7 linked regions of the Macaca mulatta genome follow. The protein of the gene in region 1 purifies or fractionates together with the protein of each later gene. This does not show direct contact. Links are inferred from orthologs where the notes say so. Each region holds a gene or a part of one and is shown in the gene's direction. Other genes may lie near its edges. The genes, in order: SLX4, KPNA1, PGAM5, RTEL1, TOPBP1, PLK1 and SLX4IP.

Region 1 (3,500 bases):
CAGGATGGTCTCGATCTCCTGACCTTGTGATCCGCCCATCTCGGCCTCCCAAAGTGCTGGGATTACAGGCTTGAGCCACCGCGCCCGGCCAACTTTTTTTTTTTTTTTTGACAGAGCCTTGGCTAGAGTGTAGTGGCGCGATCTCGGCCCACTGCAACCTCGGCCTCCCAGGTTCAAGCTATTCTCGTGCCTCGGCCTCCTGAGTAGCTGGGATTACAGGCACCCACCACCACACGCGGCTAATTTTTTTGTATTTTTAGTAGAAATGGGGTTTCGCCATGTTGCCCAGGCTGGTCTTGAACTCCTGAGCTCAGGCGATCTGCCCTCCTCAGCCTCCAAAAGTGCTAGGATTAGAGGTGTGAACCACTGCACCCAGCCCCATGACAAAAACTGAGTTTTTGAAGAGGCTAGGCTAATTGTATTATAAGATTTCCCACTCTCTGGATTTGTTTATTTCTTTATGGGATCCTTTAACTCCTTCCTCTAACCCTTGGGTTGCCCCGGGTTGCCCCACTCTGAGTGGATTAGAGGCTCATTGGCTCCAGGTGACAGCGTGTGGAGACAGTGCCCCATAGCTGCTGTGCACTTGGTGTAGCACCAGCTCCATAAGCATAATAATGCCAGGTGCTTCTGTTCTCCATCCTTGAAACAATATGGATTCTCATTTCTGATGAAAATTTACAAAGGGAAAAGAAATAGGAAGAAACTATTATTGGCGGACCTAGAGCTAATAAGTATGCAGGCTCTTGGCATTGCATTGCAGATTTCACTTCAGTAACACCGAGGAGTCTCAGGCCGCCCCAGGGTCCACAGCAGGCAGTGATTTGATGTCCTGCCGAGGCATCAGTCCTGGATGCACATGTGAGGTGTAGAGGAGGCACCCAGCTGGTGTGAGCTCCGCCCCTGCCCAGCATTTGACTCAGTTCTTTCTGTATCTTCACATCACACCCAGCAAGCTCTCAGAAAGAGATAAACCATTTCTTTGTTAAGAAACCAAACCAGGCTGGATGTGGTGGTTCACACCTGTAATCCCAGCACTTTGGGAGGCCAAGGCAGGCAAATCACCTGAGGTCAGGAATTCAGGACCACCCTGGCCAATATGGTAAAACCCCGTCTCTACTAAAAATTAGCCAGGTGTGGTGGTGTGCACCTGTAATCCCAGCTACTGAGGAGACTGAGGCAGGAGAATCACTGGGACGTGGGAAGCGGAGGTTGCAGTGAGCTGAGATCGCGTCGATGCACTCCAGCTTGGGGACAGAGTGTGAGACTGTCTCAGGAAAAAAAAAAAAAGACGACCAAACAAAACAGGGCACCAAAATGAAGGTGTGCTGTTTTGCTGGCCTCAGTGGCAGGCACTGGTAGGCCACAGCCATCAAAAACTTGGGGGTTTATGAGGCGTTCAGGGCGTATCCCTTGTGAGTGACAGGGGTCTGCTCCAGCAATACCAGATGGGCCACCCTGGGAGCCATCTCAAGACCAGAATCAGTCCATTCTAGCGTCTGATGCTAAGTAAGAGATGCTGCTTTTTAACCGCCAAGGGCATTTCACTCTGCCCTGGTTTTATCACGGGCAGTAAAAGGTCAGCAGGAAAGGTTGAGCTTCGAAGAGAACATCTAGCTTTGTTGGAATATGAGCCTTGTGAACCTGCAATGCCCAAGGTAGCTGACTTTAGCAGAAGTGGGGAAGTGTAGGTCCTTGCTACTCAGAGTGGTCCTGCGGTGCCAGCATCGCCAAGCCTGGGGGCTGCTAGGAAGGCGGAGAGTCTCAGGCTGCACCTGGACCCCCTGAACTTGAATCCGAGTGTCGACAAGCTTCCCAGGCAATGCATATGCATGTTAAAGTTGGAGATGGCTGTTGCAGAAGTGCTGACTAGTGCCCAGTCTCACTGGACAGTGCCTGAGTCACCGGTCTGCAGAGTGGAGCTGGGTTCTGGTTTATTTGTGCTCCCCCTGCTCCCCATGGTCTGCAAGAGCCGACAGAGCAGAGGTCTGAGGGTGAGCTTGTCTTTGGAGTTGATCCTCACGGATCTTTGGTGCTTCTCCACAGTGTTTGGGCTTGGGCCCCCTGCCCCAGAGAGCGACGCTGCGGTGGCCTTGACCCTGCAGCAGGAGTTTGCACGGGTAGGAGCATCGGCACATGATGATAGCCTGGAGGAAAAAGGGTTGTTCTTCTGCCAGATTTGTCAAAAGAACCTCTCAGCCATGAACGTGACCCGAAGGGAACAGCATGTAAACAGGTGGGGGCAGCGTGGGCCGTCACCTCTCCCGTGTACGTGACCAGAATCCCCGGGCACCCCAGGGCTGGAGTGGGGATCTCCACACCTTACTGTGAAAATAGCACCTCAGCTTTGTTGTCAACCTACCCCTTTTTAAAAAATAACTTTGTTGAGATATAAGTCACAGAACATATAGTTCACCCATTTATTCACACAGTTGTGCAACTGTCACCACAATCACTTTGGATTATTTTCATCACCGCCAAAAGAATCTCCACACCCATTAGCAGCCACTCCCTATTGCCCCTCTCTCCCCTGACAACCACTAATCAACTTTCTGTCTGGATGGATTTGCCGATTCTGAAATTGCACAGTTGTCCTTTTGTGTCTGCCTTCTTTGACTGAATATGTTGTTTTTGAGGTTCATCCATGTTGTAGCATGGGACAGGCTTCATTCCTTTTTGTGGCTGAGTAGTATCTCATTGTATGGATAGACTGTGTTTTTTTCCCATTCTTAGATGAGGAATATGACCGTGGTTTATCCTTTCATCCATTGACTGACATTTGGAGCATTTCTACCCTTTGGGATTGTGGATAGAGCTGCCGTGAACATGGGTTTCATGTATTTGTTTGGGTACCTGCTTTCAGTTCTTGGGGGTCTATACTTAGGAGTGGAATTTCTAAGTTATCATGTAACTGCATTTAATCTTTCCTTGCTTTATTTAGCCAGCTTTGCTAACAGATACCTAAGTGTAGTGACTAGGGGCTGACTGCCAGGAAACGGAGTCAGGCTGTGTGGAGGGATTAGCTTTGGGGAACTTGCTTTGACCACAGCACATCCATGATGACCTAGACCCACATGTGCTCCAATCCACATTCCCGGGGAGGGTGGTTCTCCTGTATTAACTGTCTTCCTTCAGGTGCCTGGATGAAGCTGAAAAGGCACTAAGACCTTCCGTGCCTCAGATCCCTGAGTGCCCGATTTGTGGGAAACCATTTCTGACCTTAAAGAACAGAGCCAGCCACTTGAAGCAGTGTGCTGTGAAGATGGAGGTTGGCCCCCAGCTCCTGCTGCAGGCCGTCCGGCTGCAGACAGCACAGCCTGAGGGGAGCAGCAGCCTGCCAGTGTCCAGGTGAGTCAACGAAAAGGAAGAAAACCAAGCCAAATATTGCTGTGTGCACTCAGGGCTTTTTCTATTTAAAAAAGCTTTTTATGGGCCAGGCGCAGTAGCTCACACCTATAATCGCAGCACTTTGGGGGAGGTCAAGGTGGGCAGATCACCTG
Region 2 (3,500 bases), on another chromosome or scaffold:
CAGCTCTGAGCTTTAACACATGGTTTATTCCCTCTGCCTGGAACATATGCCTTCACTGCTACCCCTTGCTCTGACTGCCACCTCACACATATCCATATTCTCTACTCCTAATGTTTTCTTGTTCTTGAATTCTTGGTATTATCATTATTTTCTCTGAGAATGCTTGTTTGACCCTAAACTTTTAAGTTAGGTACTTATTCTTTTTTCTTCATCCATCAGAATACTAATCACATTGTATTGTAACTAATTACTAGATTTTAAGATTCTAGAGGTAGATTATGTCAGTGTTTATTTCTGTGCCTCTGTAAATCTAATAATTTCTGGCACAATATATAGGGACCTAAAGAATATTTATTGAATGGAACGAAGTTCTGAATCTATACGTCTAGTTCCGATCTATCTCACGTTTCAGTCCTATATCTGCAGTAGTCTCTTACATATTTCTGCTTGCTTTGCATATCTCACATACGTCTCGCAGTATGTCTTCTTTCCCCCACAAAGCAAGTTCCAAGTTTTTATTTTTCCTATTTCAAGTAATGATATAACTATTCTATTTACCTACACATGAAACTTGGCAGTCACATGTGGTGTCTTCTTCCCTTCTACTTTGTATAGCAAGTTGCCAGGTCTTCTTGATTCTTATTGTTACTAGATCCCCATCAAATTACGTTCTTTTGGTCCTTGTCACACACACAGGTTGTTGCTGTACCCACCCATCCTCCTACTCTCCTAAGCAGTTACTCATCTCAGTTTATTCCCCCTAATAACAACTGAATCTCTCCTGAAATAATGTTATTTACATTATCTTCTTTTAGAAACAATAAGCTGCTTTAGTGCCTGTAAGATAAAGAACCTTGAAAAGATTCAAAGGAATTTCTCCGTAAGATTTTAGTCTCATTCTTCTTTCTAGCCTATTATTTTTGGGGCATAGAACTCTTTCTTAATTAGCCTCATCATGGCCAGGTATGCTGGCTCATGCTTGTATTCCTAGCATTTTGAGAGGCTGAGGTGAGAGAATTGCCTGAGCCCAGGAGTTCCAAACCAGCCTGTGCAATATAGCAAGACCCCATCTCTAAAAACATTTTTTTTTAATTAGCTGAGCATGATGGCATGTAACTGTAGTCCTACCTACTCTACTCAGGAGACTGAGGTAGGAGGATTGCTTGCGCCCAGGAGTTTGAGGTTGCAATGAGCTATGATCATGCCACCACACTCCAGCCTTAGTGATAGAACCATACTGTTTCTTAAAATGAAAATAGCCGCAGTAGTCTGTTCTTATGATACTTTGTAATAGCTTGTCTCTGCATTTTTTCATTTCTTATGTGCAGTGTCAGTTCTCCTTTTTGCTAATGAAATCCTGTTGCCTATTTAATAGGCATAAAAGACTTGATTTTAATTTGCATTTCTTTCATTACTTATGAGATAATTTTCTATTAAAATTTTAGTTTCTCTTTTCAGTTTACACAAGGAAGATAGCAACCCTCTCATTTGTTGCAAATATTTTTCACATTGGATGGTGTACATTTTTAAAATCTTTTATGATTTTTGACAAGAAAACATTTGTTTCATGAAATTTTTGTTTTCTCCTATAATTTATTTTTATGCTCAGTCTTTTACCATCCCCAAATCAGCTATTTTCTAATATTCTGCTTTATGATTCCTTTTAAAAATATTTACTCTTAAGTAGCTGCAAGTTTATTTTGGCAACTTAGGGTTTTTATTAGTCTGTTATTTCACTGCTATAAATACCTGGCCGAGTGCAGTGGCTCCCGCCTGTAATCCCAGCACTTTGGGAGGCCGAGGTAGGTGGATCACATGAGGTCAAGAGTTCAAGACCAGCCTTACCAACATGGAGAAACCCCGTCTCTACTGAAAATACAAAATTAGCTGGGCATGGTGGTGCGTGCCTGTAATTCCAGCTACTTAGGAGGCTGAGGCAGGACAATTACTTGAACCTAGGAGGCGGAGGTTGTGGTGAGCAGAGATTATGCCATTGCACTCCAGCCTGGCCAACAAGAGTGAAACTGTCTCAAAAAAAAGAAAAAGAAATACCTAAGACTGAGTAGTTTATAAAGAAAAGAGGTTTAATTGGCTCATGTTTCTGCAGGCCATACATAATGTGTATAGTAGCTTCTGCTTCTGGGGAGGTCTCAGGAAACCTAAAGTCATGGCGGAAGGTGAAGAGAAAGCAGGCATGTCTTACGTGACCTGAGCAGGAGCAAGGAGTAGGGAAAGGTGCTCCATACTAGAACAGAACCATGGCTAACCATTCTTGGAGGATCCACCCCATGATCTAGTCACCTCCCACTAGGCCCCACTCCAACCTTGGGGATTACAATTTGACATGTGATTTGGGTGGGGACACAGATCCAAACCATATCAGTGTTAAGAACTGATTTTGAAAAAATTGTTTTTAATCTATTTAGCTTTTTATTCCAGTTCTGTCAAAGCCACCAGTCATTGGGAGAAAGGGTTAATTTTTATTATAAACTTTATACATAGCTGCATTTGTTTTTAGAATAGATCTCTGTTCTCTTTGTTTAGTGATTAATTCTTAAACCTGCCATATACTATCTTAATCACACTTTTTTTATTTTTGTTTCTAGTAGAGTAAGTCTCCTTCTCCATGTGTATTTGTGTTACCTCCTTCACCTTTATAAACTGATAGCTGAGGTCATATCTTTTTTATCTTTGTATCCTATGAAGCACCTGATATACCTCATTAAGTACGTATTCATTCATTGACTACCAAGTAGTGTGTTATCAGAGGACCTACAAATCTGAGACTCCTGACTTTTCTGGCCACTTGATATATTTATTTATCCATTCAGAAGACTTACGCTGTTGGGATGGGAAGGTGAATGAGTAATGCTATTGCAGTTACTAAGTACAATTTAGCCGTTGTGAATGTGTACAATGAAACTGGATTGATAATCTTAGAAACTAATTCTTATTAACAGTGAATACTTTTTTTTTTACCTGTATAAAGTTACTTATTTATAAAATTTCAAGGGGAGATGTTATGTCTTTCATAAAATCTGTTCTTTAAGTTAAACATTTATATTTAGAACAATACAATAAGTAAAATTTTCAAACTTTTTCTTTTAGGTAATTCTGAATTGCTCAGCTCTGCAGAGTTTATTGCATTTGCTGAGTAGCCCAAAGGAATCTATCAAAAAGGAAGCATGTTGGACGATATCTAATATTACAGCTGGAAATAGGGCACAAATCCAGGTAACCTCATAGGACCTAACTTTTCTTTCAGTATTTTTATTGAAAAGTAAGGTTTTTTTCTCAGTCACCCTTTAAAACATATATTGTTTTCGGCTGGGTGTAGTGGCTCCTGCCTGTAATCCCAGCACTCTGGGAGGCTGAGGCCCGTGGATCACTTGAGGTCAGGAGTTCGAGACCATCCTGGTCAACATGATGAAACCTTGTCTCTACTAAAAATACAAAAAATTAGCCAGTCGTGGTGGCAGGTGCCTGTAGTCCCAGCTACG
Region 3 (3,500 bases), on another chromosome or scaffold:
CACTGTCTCTGAGTAAACACCAGCAGGTTCCACTTCTGCTCTTCCCAGCTCTGCCGTGTTGAACTTTTTTTGTTGCTGTTCAGACAGGGTCTTGCTCTGTTGCCCGGGCTGGAGCGCAGTGCACTGCAGTGGCGAGATCATGGCTCCCTCCCAGGCTCAAGTGATCCTCCCACCTCAGCCTCCTGAGCAGCTGGGACTACAGCTGCGGACCGCTTTGCCCAGCTAACTTTTTAATTTAATATTTTTGTAGAGACGGGGCCCCCCTGTGTTGCCCAGGCTGGTCTTGAACTCCTGGGCTTCAGTGATCTGCCCACCCTGACCTCCCAAAATGCCGGGATCCGCTTTTTCAGATTCCAGCAGCTCCGGAACAGGACTTCATAATGGGAATGGTTTCTTCCTCACTGTCTGATGTGATAGTCACTATCCCATGTGGCTGCTGAGTGTTTGTTTATTTTCTGAGGTGGAGTCTCGCTATGTCGCCCAGGCTGGAATGCAGTGGTGCAATCTCAGCTCTTTGCACCCTCCGCCTCCCGGGTTCAAGCGATTCTCCTGCCTCAGCCTCCCGAGTAGCTGGGATTTCAGGTCTGTGCCACCAAGCCCGGCTGATTTTTTCCATTTTTAGTAGAGATGGGATTTCACCATGTTGGCCAGGCTAGTCTCGAACTCCTGACCTCAGTTGATCTGCCCGCCTCAGCCTCCCATATCCTGGGATTACAGGTGTAAGCCACTGCACCCGGTCCTGAGGGTCTAAAATGTGTTTAGTATGACTGAGGACATGATGTTTTAATTTTATTTAATTTTGCTTAAATTTTTAATTGAAACATCCTCATAGCTGGTGGCTGCTGTTGGGCATTGAAGTTCTAGGCTCTGTTGAAGCATCATGGTCAGGGAGGCTGTCCTGGTCCCGCGGACACTTTCCACCTGCCCACCCATAGCCGCTGTCCTCCTTCCTTTTCCATACCCACAGGTGCATTCTGGGTGGTCTGTCTCCTGCTGTTCACTGTCTGCCTCTCCTTATTAGAGAAGATGCACAGGGCTTTGCTTATCTGTTTTGCTTTCCAGCACATAATGCAGAACAGGCCTGGAACTAGCTTTGTGGGAGGGAGAGTAGCGGTATGCTCAGAGAGGCCTCCCCAGGGCTGTGTCGAGGTCCTTGTCTTCTCTCCATGCTCTTCCCAAATAGTTTGACAATCTGGAAATAACATCTTGTCAGAAAAACTCAAACTTGGGAACAGAGGTCACAAGGACCTATCTTGTATTTCAACATCAGGCGAGAACCGCTCTCTCTGATCAACCTGCGGAAGAGGAATGTGGAATCTGGGGAAGAAGAGCTGGCGTCCAAGCTGGACCACTACAAAGCCAAGGCCACACGGCACATCTTCCTCATCAGGCACTCCCAGTACCATGTGGATGGCTCCCTGGAGAAGGACCGCACTCTGACCCCGCTGGGTATGTGGCGAGTCAGACCCTCTGTGACTCCCTTGTGTGTGATGGGGTCAGACCCTCCGGGGACACCCTTGGGGAGGTGACGGGGTCAGACCCTCCAGGGACGCCCTTGGGGATGTGGCCAGGTGCATATCCTCTGCTGGTGCCTTGGTTACGTGATGCAGCTCCTCCGCAGACCCCCCCAGTCAGCTTTCTTGAAAGTGTTTGGGGCACTGGGTCTCCTGGGGCCCATGTCTGAGGCCATCACCCCTGAATCACACATTGACATTACCAGTAACTGTCCGCTGAACTTGGATAGAAGACAAGCTTTTAAAAATGTCTTTACCTTGGCCAGGCGCGGTGGCTCACACCTGTAATCCCAACACTTTGGGAGGCCAAGGCAGGCGGATCACCCGAGGTCAGGAGTTCGAGACCAGCCTGGCCAACACAGCGAAACCTCGTCTCTACTAAACGTACAAAAATTAGCCAGGTGCGGTGGCAGGCACCCGTAATCCCAGCTACTCAGGAGGCTGAGGCAAGAGAATTGCTTGACCCTGGCAGGTGGAGGTTGCAGTGAGCCAAGATTGCACCACTGCACTCTAGCCTAGGTGACAGAGCGAGACTCAGTCTCAAAAAAAAAAAGTCTTTACCTTTTAGCAAATGTTGGACCTATCTTGTTTGCATGAGACCAAATTTGGTACATATCCTAGCAGGGGTTTTGTGCCTGCTCGACGCCTTGGAAAGCCGCATAGCTTGTGCGCTCAGCTGCTCACCTGGACCTGCTGCCAAAGACCCTTCTCTTCTGCACTCACAGGCCTACTGCCTGGCGTCTGCTTTTTTTTTTTTTTTTTTTCCGGAGACAGAGTCCTGCTCAGTTGCCCAGGCTGGAGTGCAGATGTGATCATGGCCCACTGCATGGGTTCAAGCAATTCTGCCTCAGCCTCCCAAGTAGCTGGGATTACAGGTGCCCACCACCACAGGTGGCTTTTTTTTTTTTTTTTTTTTTTGGTATTTTTAGTAGAGACAGCGTTTCACCATATTGGCCAGGCTGGCCTCAAACTCCTGACCTCGTGATCCGCCCGCCTTGGCCTCCCAAAGTGCTGGGATGACAGGTGTGAGCCACCGCGCTCAGCCTGGCATCTGTCTCTCAATGCCCTGTTGAACAGGCAGGACTGAGCGACACGATCCTGCCTGTCCCCACTGGCAGACGCTGCATAGACAGCGCCCAGGAGGGTCCTTCCACCCTGTCCTTGTGTTCCTGTGCAGGTGGATCTGTAGGAGAGATGCCTAGAGAAGGAAATGTGGGGTAGGCTAAGGTAGAGTTTACACTTTGAAAAGTTCTTTAAATGGGATAGTGTCTGTTCATGCACATATTAAAAGTTCAAATGGTAAAAATGTGCAGGGCTGTCCTCCACAGATGCCTCCCTCAGCCCCCAGAACTGTCCCGGCTGCTTGTATACAAAGAAAGTGGAGTGACAGACGCAGCTGTGGCTGCATCCAGTGGACTCGGCCTTCCCGAGGGCCTTTCCACCTGGATGCCAAAGCTCACAAGAGAAAAGGTGTCTGCACTGGTGTCCGGCCCCATGTAGCAGCTCGGGGTGTTTAGGTCCTGCTGTGTTGGCCTCCGTCATGGCGTGTGCCTGGTGGACCCTGAGGCTCAGGTTTTGGGCATAGTTAAGTGACGGTGACGAGGGGACTCAAACCACCAGCCACTGTCCGATTTCCTGCAGTTGATGGAATCGGATGCTTTTCTTTTTCCTGTATGGGGGTGAAGACAGTTGAGTGCCAGCCCCTCAGGCCCAAGCCTAGGGAGAGCAGGAGCCACGGGATGCACTTGCTGCCTGACGCGGGCTCGTGCTTGTGGGTGGAGGAGGGCGCGTTTGCGGGCGGCGGAGGGGGTGCGGGTGCGGCACTGAGGTGTTTCACCCTCCAGGTCGGGAGCAGGCTGAACTCACGGGGCTCCGCCTCGCAAGCTTGGGGTTGAAGTTTAATAAAATCGTCCATTCCTCCATGACGCGCGCCATAGAGACCACTGATATCATCAGCCGGCACCTGCCAGGTAAGTGCGGGGTGCG
Region 4 (3,500 bases), on another chromosome or scaffold:
ATGCATGTTGGAGTCAACCTGTCTGCTTCCTTTAAAAATCTTGCTGTGATTTTGACTGGAATGTGTGGAATTCCTGTGTTTTTGAGTCAGTGTCTCTCTGTTGCCCAGTCTGGAGTGCAGTGGGACCATCACAGCTCACTGCAGCTTCAACCTCCTGGCCTCAGGGGATCCTCTCAGCCCAGCCTCCCAAGTAGCTGGGACCACGGCACGTGCCACCACGCCCGGCTAGTTTTCATATTTTTTTGGTGGAGACCCCGGGGTTGCACCATGTTGCCCAGGCTGGTCTCGAACTCCTGGGTTCGGGCAGTTCGCCCCTCTCGGCCTCTCAGAGTGCTGGGATTACAGGCGTGAGCCACTGCACTAGGCCATGTTGAATTTCTAGATTAATTTGGGACCCTTAGGGGCACAGAGAGGAGGGCTGGGCCAGCTGGTGGGAGGAGAGGCCTCTCGGGCTGCCGCGTTTCCAGTGCACGGAGATGGCCTGCGTAGGGGGAACAGAGCTCACCGGGGGTCCCTCCAGGGAGGAGAAAGGGTCAGGCAGGTGCCAGCTCCTGTCCATCAGCCTGGGGCTGCATGATGGCAGGGGCTGGTGAACCGATGACCTCTGGGTGTCCTGTGACCTTCCGTGTGTGGGGCTGATGCCGCAGAAGATCAGGTGGCCTCCAGGGCTCTGGGCTCTGGCCTCAGGCTCCTCACGGGACTGCACCTCCTCTCTTTCAGATTGTGTTTAGTGTGGACCCCTCCGAGGGCAGCCGTGGTTCCCCGGCAGGGCTGGGACCCTTACAGTCCTATAAGGTAGGGGCCACCTCCAGGAGGCAGGTGGGGCTGGGGGTCCTGCAGTCCTGAAAGGTAAGGGGCTGCCCCCAGGACATGGGTGGGGTCTCCACACTTCTGGTCCTGTCCCCTCCAGGTGCACGTCCATCCTGATGCTGGTCACCGGAGGACGGCTCAGCGGTCTGATGCCTGGAGCACCACTGCAGCCAGAAAGCGAGGTACAGACCTGGGCCCACACTCTCCCCGCCCGCCCGGGTGTGGTGCTCAGCACCAGCATGCCACAGGCTAGGCACGTGGCCAGCCGTGGGTCTCCTGCCCCCCTGGGCCTGGCCACCTTCTCCATGTCCAGGCCAATCCAGAGCATTCTCCTCACTGTCCCTCTGAAGGCTGGAGTTACTGAGAGACATGGGAGAGGGCCTGATGGCACCGTGACCTGCCCAGAGTCACCTGGTTGGTGGCGGCAGAGCCACAGCTCAGCCAGGCCTTCCTGCTGGGACACACTGGTTTATGCCAAGGCCGTCAGCACGGAGCCCCACAGTGAGGCACAGCTTTCCCTGCTGCCTCCACCCAGCGCCTGGCTGGGCCAAGCCTCAGGGTCTCATCTGAAGGGGGCCCGACTGGCCCTGTTGTCCGAAGCCTCTGGTGCGCTCGGCCCTGAGGCCCCACGTGCCTTGTTGGCTTCCTGTGCTCTGTGGCGTCTTCGAGTCGGTGCTGCCGGGTACCTGTGTGGATGGGGCCCGTGAGTGGGCCCTCGGCTCCGTGTCCAGAGTCCTGTGGTTCTTGGAGTGTGTCCGGCCCCACCCGGCCATGTGGTGTCCAAGGGGGGCTTTGTGGCGGCAGCGGTGGGAGCTGCTGCCCCTTCTCGTGCTCCAGTGGGGCCTTGCCTCTGGGCTTGGTTCGTTCCTCTCTGGAACGTTCTTTCTCAGAGCTCTCTGGCCCGCGGTGGCACGACGTGGCCCTGGCTGAAGCAGCCCCCGCGTGGTTGCTGTGGTTGGTCTGCCTGGCCGAGCCGGAAGGGGAGGGCCGGGAGGGCGTCAGGGTTGCGTGGCTTGACCCCCGGTCGGTGACTCGGTGATGGCCTCGTGGCAAGGCGTCTCCCGGCAGGAAGCGTCCATCCTGGGGGGTCGTGGGAGGCGGCGCGTGCCTGAGGCAGCTGGCGCACAGATCCTGAGGGCCTGGAATCTATTTGTTCCATTGACCTGTGACGTCACTTGACTTCTGAGAAGCAGCCGCTCCCTGCGTTGGGCGTTTGTAGGAAATGAGCTCCTGGAGGTGGAGGTCGGGAAGTTCCCCCGCTGCAGGGCACGCTCAGCCCCAGGAAGCGGAGTGACCTTTGCTGGGAGAGGTGCCTTGTCCCTGCTGACCCCGAGTCACAGTCAGCGTCGTTCTGCTTGTGCCGTGTTTAATTCCTGGTGTCCGGTGCCCAGGCTCAGTCTCCTCCCCAGGCCGCGGCCGCTGCGGTCAGTCAGTCAAGCACTTCTAGGAACTTCCTTTGAACCGGTGCCCTTGTTCGCTGCTGACGCCACTCGGAGGCTTCCTGGCGGAGCGGGGAACTCGCACTTCCTCTTGTGCGCGTCCCTGGAATGTCGGGACGCTGGCGCTTGCTTCCCGTGCGCTCTTGGCGGGATGAGCTTGCCCTGAGCTGCATGTCACCGTTTCTGCAGAAGTTTAGGGTTGGAGTGGGCTGACCTCTCTGGAGGTGTCCCCAGCATCTGCCTGGGGTCTGCCTCGTACTCCCGGGACCCCCAGTCCCCCAGAGGGGACCCCAGCTGGCAGACTGCGCTCACACTCAGGGCAGCCTCCTTTGTTCTGAATTCTGCACGCTGGGCCTGGGTGGCTGTGGGCGGCTCACTTGCTTGATGCCAGTGGGTGAGAGGGTGATGGGCAGAGAGGCAGGCGGTCAGGCCCCCAGTCCCGTCCTCACACCCTGTGTCCCCTGCTCCCCTCCGCCCCACAGGGAAGGTGTTGAGCTACTGGTGCTTCAGTCCCGGCCACAGCATGCGCGAGCTGGTCCGCCAGGGCGTCCGCTCCCTCATCCTTACCAGCGGCACGCTGGCCCCGGTGTCCTCCTTTGCCCTGGAGATGCAGATGTACGGGCCACCCCTGCCAGGGGCCTAAGCACTGGTGACGCCTGTGACGTTAGTGGGGTGGGAGTGCTGGGGGTCCCCATGAGCCGGGGTGCTGGGGGTCTTGGGCCTCACTGGGGGTCTCGGGCCTTGAGGGCTAAAGGGGTGCTGGTGTCCTTCCCCACTGTCTGTCCCTCCGGCCATGCTCAGCCCTTTCCCGGTCTGCCTGGAGAACCCACACATCATCGACAAGCACCAGATCTGGGTGGGGGTCGTCCCCAGAGGTCCCGATGGAGCCCAGCTGAGCTCTGCGTTTGACAGACGGTGAGGGCCTGTCCCTGGGCCGTGCTGGGGTGCGAGGTCGGGGAGTACTGAGCCCTGAGGCCCTGAGCAGTGGCCTCTCGGCTCTGTGCAGGTTTTCTGAGGAGTGCTTGTCCTCCCTGGGGAAGGCTCTGGGTAAGTGCCCGGCACACCCCAGCTGTGCCCATCCTGGATCCTGGACCCTGCTCCCAAGAGCTGGTAGGGACCCCGGAAGACGCCCCGCCCCTGCCCTGACCCCAGCCCCTGCACTTCCAGGCAACATCGCCCGCGTGGTGCCCTACGGGCTGCTGATCTTCTTCCCTTCCTATCCTGTCATGGAGAAGAGCCTGGAGTTCTGGC
Region 5 (3,500 bases), on another chromosome or scaffold:
TATATTTTGTGGTCTGTGTTTTCAAGAGCCTTTAGGGAGTCTAGGCACAGTGGCTCACACCTGTAATCTCAGATCTTTGGGAGGCCAAGGCAAGAGGATTGCTTGATGCTAGGAATTCCAGACAAGCCTGGGCAACATAGTGAGACCTTGTCTCTACAAAAAATTTAAAAATTAGCCAGGCTTGGTGGTGTACAACTGTAGTGCCAGCTACTCAGGAGGCTGAGGCTGGAGGATCACTTGAGCCCAGGAGTTAGAGGTTATAATGAGCTATAACCATACCACTGCAGTCCAGCCTGGGCCACAGAGCAAGACCCTGTCTCTAGAAAATTAAAAGAATCTTTGGGAAAAATCAGACACATGCACAAATGACTGTAATGCATCTCAGAGTGTAGTATATACCATAAGAGTTAGAAGCAGGCAGGGAGCTTTACAGAGGGATAATCACTACAGGTCTTGATGAAATGTCTTTGAAGGGGGACAGGCACAGTGGCTTACGATGTAATCCTGCACTTTGGGAGGCTGAGGTGGGCAGATCACCTGAGTTCTGGAGTTCAAGACCAGCCTAGCCCATGTGGTGAAACCCCGTCTCTACTAAAAAATAGAAAAATTAGCCAGGCATGGTGGCAGGCACCTGTAATCCCAGCTATTTAAGAGGCTGAGGCAGGGAGAATTGCATGAACCTGGGTGGTGGAGGTTGCAGCGAGCCGAGATCGCGCCACTGTCCAGCCTGGGTGACAGTGCAAGACTGTCACCAAAAAAAAAAAAAAAAAGTCTTTGAAGGGCTTCCTAGTTACTTCATATACAGTGCTTGTGGTAAGGGCTGCTTTTTATGTTCTACAGTATTCATAGTCTTAGTACATTACTATAGCCTGTAGTTAGTATTCAGTAAATGTTAAGTCAATAAGTTTGTGTTCAACCAGGTCTAAACAAAATAGTTAATGTAAGATATGGTCAGAAAGAGAAACTTACCTTGAATGGTGTATTTGTGTTTGTTTCAAGTTCTGACACAGACCTTAGAGATGAGAGAGAACTTTCAGAAGCAGTTACAGGAGATAATGTCTGCAACATCAATAGTGAAACCCCAAGGGCAGAGGACTTCCCTTTCAAGAAGTGGTTGTAACAGTGCATCTTCAACACCTGACAGCACTCGCTCTGCTCGCAGTGGACGAAGTAGAGTCCTAGAGGCACTGAGGTGTGTACCTGTCACTGATGGCAGAAAAACTAGATGACTTGAGAGAAAGGATTTATGCACCTGCTGCTGACTCAGTTCCATGAGCTTGGCCTAATTTAGTTTAGTTTTGTTTTTTTCCCCAATATGCAGTAAAAGCAGAAATGTAAAATATCAAGACTAGTGAAGGGGTTATACGCCTAGGCCTTATTTAGCCCAAACAATAAATATTATATTCCAGTATTATCTATTGCTTTTGGCTCTCTGCTGACTAGATTTTTCGTTCTAGCTTGTCCTTCCGTCCCTTGCTCCCAGCAGTTCTAGACTTCTTACTCGGAGGTGGCAGCAGACATGGAGGTTTGTCTTACAGCAGCACCTGCTTCACAGTGAGGCATGATTGATACTTTTTATTATCTCTGTTGAGAAAGAAATGATTTTCAGATCTAATTTGCCTCAATGGATTCAGTAGGCAGTTCTCTCTGTCTACTAATACACTAATATTGAATAGTATTTGTATTAAACAATAAGTACATATATTTTTTTTCAGTCTTTTTCTAATGCAATATATAAAATTTTAAAGTTATTTTTGTTGGAATTTTGCATGCATTTTGTATTTTGCTTGTAAAATTTATCTTCTAGAAAAGGTGATTACAGTTTTTAGTGTGATGTGACTTAAGCTCAGTTGCATAACTTCATCTTTTTCGTGATAGAAGAAAAAATCTATAATTGTGTGATAAGAATTATGGAACTTGTATTTTCAATTGACTAATTGAATTAAGTATAAGATAAACTAGCATTTATCTTATGCTAACTGTGTATTACATGAGGCAGTTCATTATGTCAGTACTGAGTAAAGTAGCTTTTTAATATGCTTCAGATCAAGTTTTATCATTATAGAGAACCTAAATCATGTACCAAATCAGAGTAAATAAATATACTCTGAGAACAAAAGACTATATTCTTTATTTTTGAAGCAAAGGAAGTCTTTTTTTTTGGCAGGGGGCGGGGGGTTCCTTTGGTAAACTGTTTTATGGGTTTTGGTGGTTTTTTTTTTTTTTGAGACAGAGTTTCACTCTTGTTGCCCAGGCTGGAGTGCAGTGGGGTGATCTCGGCTCGTAGCAACCTCTGCCTCCCGGGTCCTGGTTCAAGCAGTTCTCCTGCCTCAGCCTCCTGAGTAGCTGGGATTACAGGCATGTGCCACCACGCCCGGCTAATTTTTGTAGTTTTAGTAGAGACGGGGTTTCACCATGTTGGCCAGGCTGGTCTCGAACTCCTGACCTCGTGATCCGCCCGCCTCAGCCTCCCAAAGTGCTGGGATTACAGGCGTGAGCCACAGCACCCGGCCTGTTTTGTTTTGTTTTGTTTTGTTTTGTTTGCTTCTCCACAGTATAAGTTTTATGGTAAATTATTTTTACTAAGAATGATTGAGTGAATATAAAGAAAATTACAGGACTTCTATTTACTGTCACGTAGAATCATTACGATTGCACCATAAAATGCACTTCCCTGTAATTCAGCATATTGCTTTTCTACCATAGACTCTGGAAAGTGGTTACCAATAGCCAAAAGGCTCTTCTGATAAGGCAGCCTTTATTGCCAGCCTCCCTCGTAATCATAGTGCTTATAATTTCAAGTAATTAAAAAATACAACTACTGTTAAGTAAAGTAACCATAGTGTTTGAAACATTGTATAATTAAGGAAAATCACATTTTTAAATGTACCAATTACTTTTGTATTTTTAAAAAATTTCTTGACAGTATTGAATTTCTCCTTCGAAGTTTTAGTTCTGTAGACATTGAGTCAAAATATGTGTTCCTAGCGTTTTATACTTTTCTGGAAGAAACCTTAAACCTTTTTTTTTAAAAAAAAAAATGTCCCTAGGGTCATTTATTTAATATTTTTAATGCTTACTGTGTGCTAGATGATGGCATATAAAGGTAAGCCACAACTTTTATGGGCTAACTTATGGATTTAATGAGTTTGGATTTGTTATTGCTGTTTATTTAAAACTGTCACTTTTATTCCTTAGGCAGTCTCGTCAAACAGTACCTGATGTCAACACAGAGCCTTCCCAAAATGAACAGATCATTTGGGATGACCCTACAGCAAGGGAGGAGAGAGCAAGACTTGCCAGCAATTTGCAGTGGCCTAGTTGTCCCACACAATACTCTGAGCTTCAGGTTGACATTCAAAACTTGGAGGATTCTCCTTTTCAAAGGCCTTTGCGTGATTCAGAAATTGCTAAACAGGGTAACAAGAAAGAAATCTTTGCATTTGTTTGTATTAAGTACATGTTGACCTCTTAAAAATAAACAGATGAGCATGTTGTTG
Region 6 (3,949 bases), about 18 Mb from region 1:
AAAAAAAAAAAAGAACAAAGGGGTGTAAATGGGAACTGTGGCAAACTGAAAGCATGTAGGCACAGAGTTAAGTAGCTAGAGCTGATTTTTTTCAGGAAAGGCCACAAATCCAAATTTTTATGACCTCCTCTTTTAAATGCTGTAAATGTTTTACAATGGCCGGGCATGGCTGCTTATGCCTGTAATCCCAGCACTTTGGGAGGCCGAGGTGGGCAGATCACTTGAGGTCAGGAGTTCAAGACCCGCCTGGCCAACATGGTGAAACCTCTTCTCTACTAAAATTACAAAAATTAGCCGGGCATGGTGGTGCACGCTTGTAATTCCAGCTACTTGAGAGGCTGAGGCGGGAGGACTGCTTGAACGCAGGAAGCAGAGGTTGCAGTGTCAGAGCAAGACTCCGACACACACACACGGTGGTGCACGCTTGTAATTCCAGCTACTTGAGAGGCTGAGGCGGGAGGACTGCTTGAACGCAGGAAGCAGAGGTTGCAGTGTCAGAGCAAGACTCCGACACACACACACACACACACACACACACACACACACGTGGGAGGCCAAACAAAACACACACACACACACACACACACGTGGGAGGCCAAACAAAACCCTGCAAGACACATTTGGCTATGACCTGCCAGTTTGCTAGGCATTCTTCCAACCTTCCGTCCCTCTGACCAAGAAACTGAGTGTCCACTATTTTAGGCCCTGGGAAATTCAGTAGCGAGCAGGCCAGACAGCTTCCTTGCATCATGGAGGACTCTGGTACTGTGCTTCTCCAACTTCAGGATGTGTAGGAATCACCTGAGCAGTCTTGTTGAGAGGCGGACACTGACTCGGGAGGTCTGGAGTAGGGCCTGAATGTTTGCCTTTGCGGTTCTAACAAGCTCTCAGGTGATGGCGATGCTGCTGTTCCATGGCCCCTTCTTTAAGCAGCGTTGCTTTGTAATCCGGAGGAGCTCAGAAGCGGCAGTTATTTGAAGGAGCAGACTAGCCATGAAGGTATGTTTGGCAAGCACACTTTTACTTAGATTTTAGTTCAGTTCGGGTGGCTTGGCTGAGAGCTGACGGCATCGGGAGGCGGATGCTAAGGCTTTCTTAAACGACCTGCTGGCATGCCAGTTCCCTACTCTTAGATTGCTTATATTCTAGGTGGGGTGGAGGTGGAGGAAGATTTAAGGAAAAGCTTCCTGGAGGAGGCGCAAGCGAACTGCAGGAGCTTTCCCGGACGCCCGAGAAAGGGAGAAACCCCGAAGGAATTCCTCCCCTCTCGGGGCTGGGTCTCCGCATCCACGCCGGATTTGGTTTCCCAGGCTATCCCACGTGTTCGGGCGTCCCTGTCAATCAAGTTTTTCCCCGGCTGGGTCCGGGTTTAAAGGCAGCTGCTGCGCAGGGCGCTCCCATGGTGCCGCGCGGCGGGCGGGTTTGGATTTTAAATCCCCGCGGCCAATCAGTGGCGCGCAGGCTTTTGTAACGTTCCCAGCGCCGCGTTTGAATTCGGGGAGGAGCTGAGCGGTGCGGAGCGTCTGCTCGGATCCAGGTCAGCAGAGCAGCTCCAGGAGCATGAGTGCGGCGGTGACTGCAGGGAAGCTGGCACGGGCACCGGCCGACCCTGGGAAAGCCGGGGTCCCCGGAGTTGCAGCTCCTGGAGCTCCGGCGGCGGCTCCACCGGCGAAAGAGATCCCGGAGGTCCTAGTGGACCCACGCAGCCGGCGGCGCTATGTGCGGGGCCGCTTTTTGGGCAAGGGTGGCTTTGCCAAGTGCTTCGAGATCTCGGACGCGGACACCAAGGAGGTGTTCGCGGGCAAGATTGTGCCTAAGTCTCTGCTGCTTAAGCCGCACCAGAGGGAGAAGATGTCCATGGAAATATCCATTCACCGCAGCCTCGCCCACCAGCACGTCGTAGGATTCCACGGCTTTTTCGAGGACAACGACTTCGTGTTCGTGGTGTTGGAGCTCTGCCGCCGGAGGGTGAGTGTCGCTGCTGGTTAACTGGAACTGCCTGCGGGGCAGTTGGAGCGCCCAGACCTGGAGCTGCTGGAAAGAGTGCCCAGGAAGGGAGTACCTGGGACTTGGAGCTGCTAGAGAAGGGTGCTGGGAGCCTCCCTCTTAGGTATGGAAAGTGCCTTTGGTAAGGGCTTCTTGGCTCTTGGAGCTGCTGGAGGACGGGGTTCCGGTGAAGTGGAGTCTGAGTCATGTTGCTGATAGGGAGGTCAGCTTCTGGACGCGAGGTACTTGGGGGGAGGGGTGCTGGTAATGGACGCTAGGGCCCTGGAGTGGCCAGGGAGGAGTCCCGGGTTAGTGATGCCGGGCACTGGGAGCTTCCGGAGTGTAGCTGGGTCAGTGAGGGGGTAGTTGGAGCTAGACTTCGGGCCTTCCGAGGGAGATAAGAGTCAGGAAAGGGATCTGCTGCTGGGGACTTCCGGAGTGGGGCTGAGAGAGGACCCCCAGGTAAGGGAGAAAGCTAGTAGGAGAAGGGGTGCTGTGAATGGTTGTGGACAGTGTTAAGGCAGGGTCCAGATGCCAGTTGTCCTGGAAAAGGAATGGGGTGGGGGCATAGGGAAGGAGAGAAACCCACCAAGACCCCTCTTTCATCCTTTGGGAGTCCAGAGTCCAGTCCTGTGCTTCCTTTGCCTGGTAACCCTCTCCCTTCCCCACCGGCCTCAATACCACCTCCCCATCCCTCCTGCCCTCTCCTTCCCATCCACAGTCTCTCCTGGAGCTGCACAAGAGGAGGAAAGCCCTGACTGAGCCTGAGGCCCGATACTACCTAAGGCAAATTGTGCTTGGCTGTCAGTACCTGCACCGAAACCGAGTTATTCACCGAGACCTCAAGCTGGGCAACCTTTTCCTGAATGAAGATCTGGAGGTGAAAATAGGTGAGTTGCTGAGCCTGCAGGGGTGCTTGACATCACTCCAAGAGGCTGGAATTTGGAGGAGGCTGGGAGAAAGGAAGGAGACCAGGAGGAAGGAAGAGGATGGTGGGAAGTTTGGGCTGTTGATTGCCTCTAGAATTCTCTCTTTAGTCCAGAAATTTCAAACAAAGAACCCACAAGTCAGTATCTTGCCTACAGATGCATTATTTTTTGTGCCCCAATACAGCATTTTTCTTTTTTTACAAAGAATTTGAATTTGTTTTTATTTTTTAAATTGGAAGGTTTGACATAAAAATTTTGATTTAGAGCTCCTTTTAAACAGTCATGAAAGCTCCAGTAATACGAGGACAGCATTTTCTTAGGGCAGTCCTTTGCTGGGCTGGAAAGCAGCTGTCCCCTTCAGACTTGTTTGCCACAGTCTCTACTCCTCCCTATTACTTCTTCACAGACTTGCCAAGTCTTGGAGGTTAACTTGCTTGATCCTTGAAGGCACTGGAGTTTTGCTATCCCTGCCAGTTCCCGTTTCGAAGTATAGCCCCTTTCTAAGGGGAGGGGTGAGAAGGGTCACTGGAGGCACCTCCCTGGTGTCAGCATGGCGGGAAGATTCCTGGGCAAGCCTTGCTGCGTACAAGGAGCAGAAGCTTGTGGGATCAAATGGCCCTGGTTCTTGATGGTCAAACCTTAACTAGCCTTCTGCATTGACAGATGGCAGAGGCTGGCATCTAAGTACCCGCTCTTCCTCCCTCTGTCCCAGGGGATTTTGGACTGGCAACCAAAGTCGAATATGACGGGGAGAGGAAGAAGACCCTGTGCGGGACTCCTAATTACATAGCTCCTGAGGTGCTGAGCAAGAAAGGGCACAGTTTCGAGGTGGATGTGTGGTCTATTGGGTGTATCATGTAAGTTGGGAGTTATCTCTGGATCTACCTGGTCTCAGCAGGGGCAACTTTGGGACATCCTACCTGGCTGACCTTTTCTGTGGACCTTTCGGCCTGCTTTACAGCAAACCTACTGCAGGGGACAGGTTACCCCCAAACAAAGCCTAACTGCCATATCTTTCCCTGTCACTGGTGTAT
Region 7 (3,500 bases), on another chromosome or scaffold:
TAGGAAATCCTGTTCCCAGGTGATAGCTGCTTCCTAAGGAATACTTGTTTGGGGGCAGGGGAGAGTGGCACTGGAGGCTTTGATTTAGAGACAAAGGGGAGTGAATTGACCCTAGAAATGTTAGAGTAAGAGATTTCTAATGAGACCTGACAGCTCAGGGGCTGAAGAGGGAGTCTAATCTTTTTTTTCCTGCCCACCCAGTCTTCATACAAATGTAAATATGCCTCCTTCAACAAATTGCCAAATGTGGTTTTAATTTGTAAGCAGGAGACCCCGCCTTGCCTTTCTCTTTTTCTTTTCTTTTCTTCTCTTTTTTCTTTCTTTCTTTTTTTTTTTTTTTTTTTTAAATGAAAACTAAGTCACAGATTTTACACTTTTTGAACAGGACATTTCCTCCTGTCACTCTGTCACCTTTTCTGTTGTCCCGTTTCTTCCAAGGACATTTTCCCTCATTGTTGTCAGAGGAATTTGGGATGAGAGCCGACTGCTCTGCTTCTTAAAGGAGTTTTTGAAGTTCCCAAAGGAAATGCATAGTGCTCTTTAAACTGAATTTATAAAATAAATAAATAAAGGCAGTGATTGAATTTAATACGAGATTTGAAGAGAGTGTCACTATCGCAGCATAATACTTTATGTGGCATATGCAGTATTCATTGTTGTTATTTATGACCCTGTCTGCCTTGCATTGTGGATTTCTTCCAGCCTTGGGGAATTTACATCATTCCTAATAGCAAAAGGCTTTCTGGTTCCCACAGAGTTGTTCAAAGCCTGACTCATGCTCCTTATGTTAATTGTTCAGCTCTGAAAATACAGCACTTTACAGGGTGTGGTTGTAAGGGGAGATTCTACTGTACTTATAGGGCATGTTTAGAAGTGTTTCACACATAAATCTCGATTCCTCTCTCTCTCTCTCTCTCTCTCTCTCATTTGAATTTTAAGATGTCACTCATTTTGGCCAACTAGTAAGTCTTAGAAAACAAACCAAAAAAAAGGGAGTATAATCCAGTAAAACATAGAATATTCTGTTCACTAGCTTAAAACTCACTTGGGTTATAACCAGATATGACTTTGAATGACACTGGCCCAGGTCTGAGATGGATAGGCACAACTGAAGAGCATGGAGAGCCCATCCTCAGTGGTGCAGGGCAGTGATTAGGCAAAGCACATCCCCTCAGCCTGTAGGGTAACCAGGCGTGGTACTCATGGCTGCCACCCACCAGGTGCTCTGGGGCTGTCACTGCTAATTCCAGTGTCGTTCTAAAGCAAGGACCTAATGACAGTTTACTAAAGCTGTTTCTGGTGGTAGCAACATTTTATTGGAATTTGATGGGGAAGAATACTTAGTGTCTCAGAAAATGAGAGGAGTTAATACTCGTCTGGATTATGTACTCGATAACCAAAAGGAGAAGAGATTCCAAAACTATGAAATGGGTTAATGTTGGCAAGGTAGGTAGGCTTTTACATTTTATAATTACTTCCTTATGATGCTTCCATGGGAACACAAAAGGCTAGATAGGCAGATAATCTATGAATTATATAAAACCAGAGTGGTGGTTAGTATAAGGAAAAAAGTCCCGAATTTTTTAGTAGCCAAGAATCACAAACTCCAGTTTTCAAAATACCAATATTAAAATATTTGACTATTGCTACGGTCTTGGGTGTTACAACTTTTTTTTTTTTTTTTTTTTTTAGACGGAGTCTCACCCTGTCACCCAGGCTGGAGTTCAGTGGCGCCATCTCAGCTCACTGCAAGCTCCGCCTCCTGGGTTCATGCCATTCTCCTGCCTCAGCCTCCTGAGTAGCTGGGAGTACAGGTGCCCACCATCACGCCTGGATAATTTTTTTTTTTTGTATTTTTAGTAGAGACGGGGTTTCACCATGTTAGCCAGGATGGTCTCGATCTCCTGACCTCGTGATCCGCCCACCTCAGCCTCCCAAAGTGCTGGGATAACAGGCGTGAGCCACCGCGCCCGGCCACAAAATATTCTTTATTTTTGCAGATAGAGAAAATATGGGGAATTCTTAGGATGGTAAGGGTGTAGACCACTGTGTCACCAGGTCTTGCTGGAAGAACGGAGCTCACAGGCACGCTGCCCCACACAGTAGGATTCTGGGGCTTTTGTCACAGCCTGGGCCTCACAGTTACCAGATATTGGCCAAGACTTCCCAGATGGTTTGGAATCAGCATTCTTTGCCTTACAGTTTTGTATGTTTATGGCACATATTAATGTTTGAAATGTAGACTGGGAGTCCAAAAGAAGTTACAATTAACCATAAAGTTCTAGGTAAAAAAGGTTAAAATAGCTTACCACTGAGCAGTTTCATTCAGTCTTTACAAAAATAAATGTGTTCATTGGGCATTCAGAGTGTAACTGTTTTCTCTCATGTTCAGCTAATAGATTTCTGGTTGAACCTTTGTTATCTTTTGGAGTAGACAGAAAGAGTTCTCCATGGAGTGTCTGATTACTTTGCTGAGTGTGCAGAGAGTTCACTTCCTCCCAGTGCAAAGCTCCGGAGAAATGCTCTGAAAGAAATGTAGGTGCAATGTGTTTCCTTTTTCTCATTTGTGACTGCCTCTATGTATGGATAGATAACATGAAGTCCAGAATTAAACAGAGTGCCTGGAACTGAAGCACAAACTCCCCTCCATCATGTACTTGCTCTCCCCTCCCTCCTGACTCTCTTGCTTTCTGGACAATAGGGATAGAGTCCTTGCTTCACAGGTGTGTTGCAAGGAGTAATTAATGACACGTTCTTTGAAGATGAAAAGCACCTGTTGGTGGTGTGTTTCATACCACTTTCAGAGGGACTACAGACAGATCTAAAAAATACATTCCTTTCCTAAGATCCTTGTTCCGACTTTAATATAATTACAATAATCCTCATACTCCTGGTGTCAACAGTAAGAACATGAGTATTATATGTATTTGTTTTCACACTGAAGCTAGCCAAAATAAATATTTCAGCTTTCAATGTTTTGGTGGTTGAGGAAATTTCTTGCCATTCACAGACCTGTAAATATATGCTGAAGTTAAGATCTGTAGTCTCTAATTCTCCCTGTGCAACTTCTATCCCGCCCCTCAAAGTTCATTTTATCATCAGAGTGAAGTTACATTGTCTGTTGTGCATGCCGTTAGAAGCAAGGGGCTTATATACAGCTATATCGACACTCTTTTGTCTTCCACGATTGCATTTTATTGCCTTTCATGCTGGCTATCTGGAATTTCTTCCAGGACATTTCAAATTATATTAACTAAGTCCTACTCCCATTTGTTGATCAAGTTTGATCAACAAACATGACACCAGCTAAGTGGTGGTTGTATTTGGGTAATACCTTGAAATAGCCTGAGAGAAATTCCAGGAGATTATTCTTTACTCACAAGTAGAAATTGTGTGTATGTGTACATTTGTGTTCACAGAACCTGAGTCTACTCCTGGAAAAAAAAAAAAAAAAAAGTCAGCATATAAGCAGTACTGACCCTTAACATCGGAAATGAATA

The links.
Region 2: the proteins of SLX4 (region 1) and KPNA1 purify together in Homo sapiens (co-immunoprecipitation; 3 studies listed by BioGRID and IntAct, with this or other methods). This does not show direct contact. The link is inferred for Macaca mulatta from reciprocal best matches to the Homo sapiens genes SLX4 and KPNA1.
Region 3: the proteins of SLX4 (region 1) and PGAM5 purify together in Homo sapiens (affinity purification with mass spectrometry; 4 studies listed by BioGRID and IntAct, with this or other methods). This does not show direct contact. The link is inferred for Macaca mulatta from reciprocal best matches to the Homo sapiens genes SLX4 and PGAM5.
Region 4: the proteins of SLX4 (region 1) and RTEL1 purify together in Homo sapiens (affinity purification with mass spectrometry; 3 studies listed by BioGRID, with this or other methods). This does not show direct contact. The link is inferred for Macaca mulatta from reciprocal best matches to the Homo sapiens genes SLX4 and RTEL1.
Region 5: the proteins of SLX4 (region 1) and TOPBP1 purify together in Homo sapiens (affinity purification with mass spectrometry; 3 studies listed by BioGRID, with this or other methods). This does not show direct contact. The link is inferred for Macaca mulatta from reciprocal best matches to the Homo sapiens genes SLX4 and TOPBP1.
Region 6: the proteins of SLX4 (region 1) and PLK1 purify together in Homo sapiens (affinity purification with mass spectrometry; 9 studies listed by BioGRID and IntAct, with this or other methods). This does not show direct contact. The link is inferred for Macaca mulatta from reciprocal best matches to the Homo sapiens genes SLX4 and PLK1.
Region 7: the proteins of SLX4 (region 1) and SLX4IP purify together in Homo sapiens (affinity purification with mass spectrometry; 6 studies listed by BioGRID and IntAct, with this or other methods). This does not show direct contact. The link is inferred for Macaca mulatta from reciprocal best matches to the Homo sapiens genes SLX4 and SLX4IP.

Annotation. Positions count from the first base shown.
Region 1 is NC_133425.1:4,823,916-4,827,415, reverse strand, and holds part of SLX4 (structure-specific endonuclease subunit SLX4), read left to right. Parts: intron 1-2,046; coding exon 2,047-2,236; intron 2,237-3,135; coding exon 3,136-3,348; intron 3,349-3,500. UniProt on the Homo sapiens protein: Regulatory subunit that interacts with and increases the activity of different structure-specific endonucleases.
Region 2 is NC_133407.1:161,329,039-161,332,538, forward strand, and holds part of KPNA1 (importin subunit alpha-5), read left to right. Parts: intron 1-3,108; coding exon 3,109-3,234; intron 3,235-3,500. UniProt on the Homo sapiens protein: Functions in nuclear protein import as an adapter protein for nuclear receptor KPNB1. Binds specifically and directly to substrates containing either a simple or bipartite NLS motif.
Region 3 is NC_133416.1:140,086,406-140,089,905, forward strand, and holds part of PGAM5 (serine/threonine-protein phosphatase PGAM5, mitochondrial), read left to right. Parts: intron 1-1,270; coding exon 1,271-1,449; intron 1,450-3,358; coding exon 3,359-3,484; intron 3,485-3,500. UniProt on the Homo sapiens protein: Mitochondrial serine/threonine phosphatase that dephosphorylates various substrates and thus plays a role in different biological processes including cellular senescence or mitophagy. Modulates cellular senescence by regulating mitochondrial dynamics.
Region 4 is NC_133415.1:116,545,797-116,549,296, forward strand, and holds part of RTEL1 (regulator of telomere elongation helicase 1), read left to right. Parts: intron 1-720; coding exon 721-795; intron 796-910; coding exon 911-992; intron 993-2,731; coding exon 2,732-2,864; intron 2,865-3,050; coding exon 3,051-3,164; intron 3,165-3,255; coding exon 3,256-3,296; intron 3,297-3,416; coding exon 3,417-3,500. UniProt on the Homo sapiens protein: A probable ATP-dependent DNA helicase implicated in telomere-length regulation, DNA repair and the maintenance of genomic stability. Acts as an anti-recombinase to counteract toxic recombination and limit crossover during meiosis.
Region 5 is NC_133407.1:36,675,406-36,678,905, reverse strand, and holds part of TOPBP1 (DNA topoisomerase 2-binding protein 1), read left to right. Parts: intron 1-999; coding exon 1,000-1,192; intron 1,193-3,198; coding exon 3,199-3,419; intron 3,420-3,500. UniProt on the Homo sapiens protein: Scaffold protein that acts as a key protein-protein adapter in DNA replication and DNA repair. Composed of multiple BRCT domains, which specifically recognize and bind phosphorylated proteins, bringing proteins together into functional combinations.
Region 6 is NC_133425.1:23,221,136-23,225,084, forward strand, and holds the start of PLK1 (serine/threonine-protein kinase PLK1), read left to right. Parts: upstream 1-1,149; 5' UTR 1,150-1,560; coding exon 1,561-1,968; intron 1,969-2,707; coding exon 2,708-2,876; intron 2,877-3,627; coding exon 3,628-3,772; intron 3,773-3,949. UniProt on the Homo sapiens protein: Serine/threonine-protein kinase that performs several important functions throughout M phase of the cell cycle, including the regulation of centrosome maturation and spindle assembly, the removal of cohesins from chromosome arms, the inactivation of anaphase-promoting complex/cyclosome (APC/C) inhibitors, and the regulation of mitotic exit and cytokinesis.
Region 7 is NC_133415.1:73,400,844-73,404,343, reverse strand, and holds part of SLX4IP (protein SLX4IP), read left to right. Parts: intron 1-2,434; coding exon 2,435-2,535; intron 2,536-3,500.